2 linked regions of the Drosophila melanogaster genome follow. The protein of the gene in region 1 interacts with the protein of each later gene in a pairwise test. Each region holds a gene or a part of one and is shown in the gene's direction. Other genes may lie near its edges. The genes, in order: Prp18 and CG17266.

Evidence for each region.
Region 2: the proteins of Prp18 (region 1) and CG17266 interact in a two-hybrid assay, tested with the Drosophila melanogaster proteins (one large-scale study listed by BioGRID).

The regions. Positions count from the first base shown.
Region 1 is NT_033777.3:19,029,328-19,033,335, reverse strand, and holds Prp18 (Prp18), read left to right. Parts: upstream 1-2,064; 5' UTR 2,065-2,142; coding exon 2,143-3,165; 3' UTR 3,166-3,263; coding exon of another isoform or gene 3,264-3,327; 3' UTR 3,328-3,368; downstream 3,369-4,008. Other genes in the region: CG6013 (uncharacterized protein), read right to left, coding at 1,061-1,247, 1,311-1,765; P5cr (pyrroline 5-carboyxlate reductase), read right to left, coding at 3,264-3,327, 3,389-4,008.
Region 2 is NT_033778.4:6,674,250-6,677,996, reverse strand, and holds CG17266 (uncharacterized protein), read left to right. Parts: upstream 1-1,995; 5' UTR 1,996-2,306; coding exon 2,307-2,390; intron 2,391-2,456; coding exon 2,457-2,924; 3' UTR 2,925-2,969; downstream 2,970-3,747. Other genes in the region: Tdc1 (tyrosine decarboxylase 1), read left to right, coding at 1-40, 163-691; PGAP3 (Post-GPI attachment to proteins 3), read right to left, coding at 3,144-3,216, 3,270-3,736.

The DNA.
Region 1 (4,008 bases):
CCCTATAATAAGAGCGAAACTGTTTCGGTTCTAGTGATAAGAAAGTTAGATAAAAACATTTCAGAGCCTAATGTCTTAATTGATCAAGAAAGTTTCTTCCCAGAACATAATTGCGTACTTCCACTTCAATAGTTTGGCCCATTCAATTCGTGTTTGCAAACGAAAGCTGACTAGCTGGCCAAGCACAGCTATTAAGACAGAAACTTTTTATTTGGAAAATCGGACAATTAAGCCCTAATATCTTATATAAAATCGCATTTAATGCGCAAAAAGAGGTGCCTAACGACTTAAAGCTCATACTTAACTGGCCGATGTTACGTGCATTTGTTCGACGGACCAGCAAAATATTTGGGTGGCTCTGGTCCAAAAAACGCCACCAAACTTCCAAGCAGCAAGTAGTGAAAGCGGAAGCACTTATTATTCTCCGTATTTTGCACCACTAAAAAAAAAGTGATGGACAAAACGCTGGAACGACAACAGCAATCAAAGCAATACATATAATTACTTCATTCAGAAACGCAACCGGAATCGGATTCAGGGCCACAAAGTTTTTCAGCCGGTGGCAAATAAAAATTCGGCATTCAATAAGCGGAGAAAAGCTGTCCGTTATCACTTTCGGATCTGAGTTATCCAATCCTATGTTTATTCGCCCGATTTTCTATAATTTTATTGACTCTTGCATAATTAAATATTTCTTTTGTAAGAGCGAAATTATTACAACCAAATTGTGTACAATATAGAAAAATATGTGTTGAATTTGTATCCAGTTCTTATAATAAGTACCTATATAGCAAGATTTTATTCTAATATGAATATGTTAATCTTATTATTGTTTTTTGTCTTTCGTATCCTTTTGCATGGGATGCTTTATGAAGGATAATAGCTAACCACTTTTGCAATTAACACAAATTCAACTCACTGGGCTTAAATAAATAAATAAATTTATTCCGTCCACTTTTTTTTTTATATACTACATTCTGCGTACAGTTCAAAGGTGCTACAGAACGTTTTGATTATTTCTTTGCTGCTAGGCAGCAAACAGTCTTGGTCCTTGGATCACTTAGCGCGCCTGGTTGAATGGGTTGTCTGGTGACTTGTTCCATTCCTTCATCAGAAGCTGCTTCCACTGGGACATGCGAAGGGAAGGATTCTCAGCCTTAATGCGGGGCAGATTGTTGGCTTCAAAGGTCTTGTAGGCGGCGCGCATTCGCTTCTCGGGATGCTTGTCCTCTTCGCTGTCATTTACACTAAAATTGCATGCAATGGAAGATAATTTAAATTGATAAGAAAGTTTCAGTAAGGGAACGCACCTGAGCACCACGATGGCCTCGTCAATGTTGGATGCCACATCCGTGTCGGCCATGGATCGGTTCAGATTCTCCTCGATATGGTTTTGGACCACCACTCGCGCGGCCATCGGCTTGTTGGCCTCGTTTATCGCCTCGATTACGCGCTGCTTCTTCTCCATCTCCTCGAGAATCATCTGGCGGTTGATCTTGGCCAGCGGCTGCTTTCGCTGCGTGTTAATGGATGACATTTCCTGGTCAAGCAGCGCTTTGGCCTCAGCCTTCCGTTTGGCCGCCTCCGCCCGCTTGCGCTCCTCCTCGTCCTTGCGCTGTTGTTTCTTGGCCAGATTCTTGTCGTCATCGCGCCACAGGCGATCCTCCGCCTCCTTGCTCTTCTTCTCCTGCGTGGCCTTCTTGGTGGCCTCCTTGCGCTCGCGGGCCTCCACCGCCTTCGAGTTGATTCCCATTTTCTTTGGCATTGTGTCCTTTATGAATGAATTCCGATCCTAAAATGTTGTCTATTTTTTATTGATTTTGAGCCAGTGTGACCAGGCTGCGGAAATACCAAAGAGTAACCAAAGAAAAAATACTAGAAAAATATATAGCTCAAATACAATTTAAATGTCTAATAAATGCATTTAAATTAAATAAATTAGGAAGTACATATTTATCTAATTATTGATTAAAGTTATAGAACTAATTATAAGTTATTTCATAACTAAAACTTAGTAAATTCAATAGAATACCTATTTTAGTGGCCGCACTTGTATGTAAACATTCTCAGTCTGGTCTCACTATAATCTAAGGCATTTGTTTTGGTTACTCCACATTGTTATTAACTACAAATAACAATCACATGGATATTCTGAAAGCTGAAATAGCGCGAAAGCGCAAGCTGCTGGAGCAAAGGCAGCTGGTGGACGAAAAGAAGAAGTACTTCAGACGCGGTGACCTGAACGCCAAGAACACAGAGGAAGTGCTGCAGAAGGTGGGCTACATAAAGCAGGAGTCCGTCGAGGCACAAGGACAAACGACCGAAGGCGCGTACAGTTTTGTGGCCGATGGCCAGAACATATTGCCGCGCACGGAGGTCATTCGGAGGCTAAGGGAACGCGGCGAACCCATCCTTATATTTGGCGAGACGGAGCCCGAGGCCTTTGACCGATTGCGACAATGCGAGATTTCGCAGCCAGAGGCAAATCGCGGTTTCCGCAACGATTTCCAGGAGGCCATGGAGCAGGTGGACGCCGCCTACCTGCAGGAGATGTTCGCCAACACACCCACCACCAAGGAAGACAAGAAGTCGGACTTCGCTGAGCTCGACGAGTCCGTGTCGTGGGAGAGCATACAGACAATGGCTGCAAATATGGGCCGCAACAAGGACTACGACATGGATGTGATCATCACGCTGCTCACCTTCCTGCTCAAGCTGTGGAACGACCAGATCGCCAACTACAGCAAGCACGAAAAGATGTCCACAAAGGTGAAAATGACCCGCGTCATTTACACGCAGACTAAGGAATACGTTAAGCCGCTGTTTCGCAAGTTAAAGCATCACACCCTGCCAGAGGACATTCTGGACAGTCTGCGAGACATCTGCAAGCACCTGCTCAACCGCAACTATATCACAGCAAGCGATGCCTACCTAGAAATGGCCATCGGAAACGCGCCTTGGCCCATTGGTGTCACTATGGTGGGTATCCACGCTCGTACGGGTCGCGAAAAGATTTTCTCCAAAAACGTAGCCCACGTAATGAACGATGAAACACAACGGAAGTACATCCAGGGTCTCAAACGACTGATGACCAAGTGCCAAGAGTACTTTCCCACCGATCCCTCCAAGTGCGTGGAGTACGTCAGCAAGAAGGATCGGGAATAAACTTGAGCTTTATGTTAGTCATTATTGTAATAACAATATCAAGCGTTTAACTATATGTATGTGTAGAGAGCAAGGGGATGTTCCGGGGGATTACATTTTCACTTCTTTCCCAGTTCAGCAGAGCGCTGTGACGACTTTTCCACGGCGTTTATTAAAGTAGACCTGAAAGCACGAAAGAAAGCAATAAAAAAACAGTGTAATGTACAACTTTATGGCTACCCACCTGAGGTTCCCCTTTTCCAGTTCATGAACGCCTACTATGGTGGCGCCACCGGGAGAACAGACTTCATCCCGCAGCACCGCCGGATGTTTTCCAGTGAGCAGCACCGTTTTGGCCGCTCCCAGAAGCGTCTGAGCCGCAAACTGAAGAGCCATCTGACGCGGAACGCCCTGTTTGACGCCGCCATCGGCCAGTGCCTCTATGATGGTGTAAACAAATGCCGGACCGCATCCAGCTACCCCGGTAACGGCGTCGATCATGGACTCGGGCACCTGTTGCGCCAGTCCCAGGGCGTTGAGCATTAGGTGAATCTTTTCCAAGTCGTGATGCGAAACGCGTGCGTTGCCAGTGTAAACAGTGCAGCCCTCGCCCACCTGCATGGATGTATTGGGCATGGTGCGTATCACCTTCAGCTCCGAACTGCCCATGAAGCTGAAGGCCTCCTCCAGCGTTTCGAGACTGGTACCCGCCAGAACCGACACCACCAGCTTGCTGGCATCCTTGGCCGACGGCACGTGCTTGTATTTAAGCTGGGCGGCACACGGCGTTAGCATGTGTGGCTTTACGCAGATGAAAACTATGTCCGAGTGCTCCAGGACCATGCAGTTGTCGTCGCAGGTCAC
Region 2 (3,747 bases), on another chromosome or scaffold:
GCAACGATGTTCACCTTGGCCTAGTTTGCTTCCGAATGCGGTAAGTCTATTAACCATTAAACCATTTATAAACCATTAACCGTTAGCTAGTATTTACCTAACTGAAGAAAGCAGCTAAATCTGAATGCTGGTCTTTAATGATCTACTCAATCTTCTCTACAGAACTGGCGACGAGCCCAACCACATGCTGCTCGCCCAGATCAACCACTCGGGCAAGATGCATATGACGCCGGCCAAGTTCAACGGCCGCTACGTGATCCGCTTCTGCGTCACCTACGAGCACGCCACTGAGAAGGACATCCTGGAAGCTTGGACCCAGATAAAGTGCTTTGCTGAGGAAATACTGCGGGACCACCAGCTGGAGTCCAGCTCCGTGCCAACCACGCCGGAAGGCTCAGAGCGGACCAGCTCAGAGCCATTGGCTCCAGTGGCGGGCAAGCCACCCATCAAAAAGAGGCTGACCAGGACAAAGTCGCTGCGATTCTCCTTCACTCGCAGCATCTCGCGGGAGCAGTACCAGAGCCAGAGCGAGCACCTAATGGACGGGTGCACACCCATCCTGGTCGTCGATCCCAAAACTCTTCAGGAGAACTTCCAAAAGGCGGCGGATGACAATGACAGGAACAACAGCAATGGCAACGTAAAACTCAAAGATATATCAGACGTGGATACGGACGAGGCGAGTAACTGAGCGTCGACCCGAAAAGGGATTTGCGGATTTACCTCTACCTAGTATTAGTTGTCGAGCTGAAATGAGGCATGAATCAATCGACTACCGACTAACATTGCTCAGTTTGAATTTAAGAACATCCATTTATGTACTAGTAGGACCTTAGTTGTTGCTGAATATCATGTAATTTAAAGATAGACTCATTTGCATCTGCTTATACCGTTTAGCTACCTTAAGTTACTGTCATGAACAAAAGCACTTATTTATAAACATTATCTCGGCATTTTTTATGCAAGTTTTTAAAAAATACAAACACAATCCAACGGAAAATGTATCTCGTGTCTTGTAATGGGAGTTTGAAGGACAATCTTAATGTTTAAAGCAACTTGATATGTACATTATAAATGTATATTATTATAAAATTTACAGAGTCGTCCAAGAGGATACATTTAAACAAACCAGAACGTACAGAAAACTATATCCAATATCCAATAAAGCTGTGCATCTGTTTAGAAAATGATATTCCACCCACAAACGAACACAATGCCAAGGATATGGTTTTCATCAAGGAGACCTCAATGGGATTAAGATCCCCGGGAATGTGTTGTCACTACCAAAACATGAAATCTATTTTTCACTAAGCAGATCTTAACGTCAAATGGGGGTCATTGTCGTGCATATTTTTCGGAAAATTTACATTTTTCTTGAGTACAATGCTCACGAATATTTATTAATTATCATACGTTTTTGTACTATGTCGATAAAAGGTCTTCATTCATCAACAGAGAGGGCTAATTGGGGCCATTCGTTTCCAACAGAACTCCTAAAATGGCTAATTACGGGAATCCTTGGCAAAGAGTCTATCCAAAATCCAACTGGGAGATCTTTGGGGGACGCAAATAGTATTTTTTTTAATTTTTGTATATGATATATGTCTCAATAAGTTTGCTTTAAAACGTTACCACTACATCTTAAAAGTATAAACTAATTATAAGTAAACTAAATATAAATATACATATATCGGTCTCCTTACGCATGCTAAGGCATACAATTGTTGCTTGCTACTGCACTTGCTTTGTCTCTTGCATATCTCCATTTCCCACTTTGGTACAAATGCATGTACATACAGATACAAGTGTTTTGGGTCATTCTGTCATTCTTTGTGATAAAAGCTTTTAGCGTGGGAACGTATGTATGTTGAAGAATTTACACACGCATATCCTATCAGGAAAAAATCCTGCCCATCGGACCACGAAATATGTTAGTATGCATACATATTTTGCAGGCCTTGAGAAACTTGCCAATAAAAATAAACAACTAAAAATAATGCCGAAACAATATCCAACAATAATAATATTTATGCACTATTTTATGCACTCTACTCATCAATCAATCCAATCATAAATAAACTCACCTTAATAAATATTATTAAATAGTTTCACCAATATGTGCACAGCAAAATATAAACAAGCACTTGGCACACGTGTGCTATCGATATAACCGGCTTGTGATGCTATCGACTTGTCGTGCATCGTCATCGAACCATCGTAATAAACATAAACAAAAATCTGCCGGCTTAGTAAAATCTTAATCTTGACTTGTTAGAAAGTTTATAAACAAATAAAATAATTTTAAAATGCCTAACTGGAATCAAATACAGTCCCAACTGAGAAGCTCCAACAATCCCGTCGTTTTCTTCGACATTGCCGTAGGCACAACGGTGAGCTGAAAACAATCTAGTCATAATCTGTACATAACTCCGCCTTCTAACGCCTTTTGTGTGCAGGAAATCGGACGAATGATATTCGAACTCTTTGCGGACACAGTGCCCCGCACGGCGGAAAACTTCCGGCAGTTCTGCACGGGCGAGTACCGACCGGATGGCGTTCCCATTGGCTACAAAGGCGCCAGTTTCCATCGGGTGATCAAGGACTTCATGATCCAGGGCGGCGACTTTGTGCAGGGCGACGGCACCGGCGTGACCAGCATATACGGCAACACCTTCGGCGACGAGAACTTTACCCTGAAGCACGACTCGCCCGGCCTCCTTTCCATGGCAAACAGTGGCAAGGAGACGAACGGCTGCCAATTCTTTATCACCTGCGCCAAGTGCAACTTTTTAGACGGAAAGCACGTGGTGTTCGGTCGGGTTCTGGATGGACTGCTCATCATGCGCAAGATCGAGAACGTGCCCACGGGCCCCAATAACAAGCCGAAGCTCCCAGTGACCATTTCGCAGTGCGGGCAAATGTAGCACGGAGTTCTAAATGTTGTAATAAAGTCTCTATTATGTCTTTTTAAACGAAGCTATTAGTTTTCCTGCCGTTCTGGTTACTGTCAAAGGATGTTTTCGCTTTGACATTCAATAAAATACATTACATGTTTTCGCTCTGTTACAAATTACATGAAATATGTCAGAAAAATTGCCAGATAGCTTTGCGTGCTTTAAGGGCTAAGAATAACTTAGATAATACTAATTGTAGAATGAATAGCCGCCCGCCGCAGCCTTCTCCTTTCGCAGGGTTCGACAGTCCTCTATCATGAAGCTAAAATGCAAACACATGTAGCAATATTAGAATAAAGTAATATTTCTACGCACTCATAGTATAGGGATGCCAGAGGAATTGTTGCCAAGTGCCACAGAGCATGAGCATCCAGAATCCAGAGGATGGGCGGAAAGTCAAGCAGTTCAAGGCTCATAGCCAACGCCATGAGAATATAGAAACGCAGGATCCTTCTAAAGTAGGGCCTGCGGGTGCGCACAAAGTGACACCAAACGAACCATCCCACTGCCGCTATAACTCCCGTAGCCACGTTTACCATCATGTTGAACGCATAGTTGAACCGTCCCACGCTCAGGTAGGCAAAGTAGTTAATGTAGTAGGAGAGGAATGCCAACGTGATAACACCCCGTAGGAACAGCGAGTAGCGGTGCAGCATCCGCATGACCATGACGTAAAGTGAGCACAAGATGATGGAATAGGCAAAGGCGTAGTCCAGCAGCTCGGTCAGTGGAAAGTCCCTTGTGTGAAAGATGGCGGACCAGATCCAGCCGTTGAGACTCGTCTGGAAGAGTA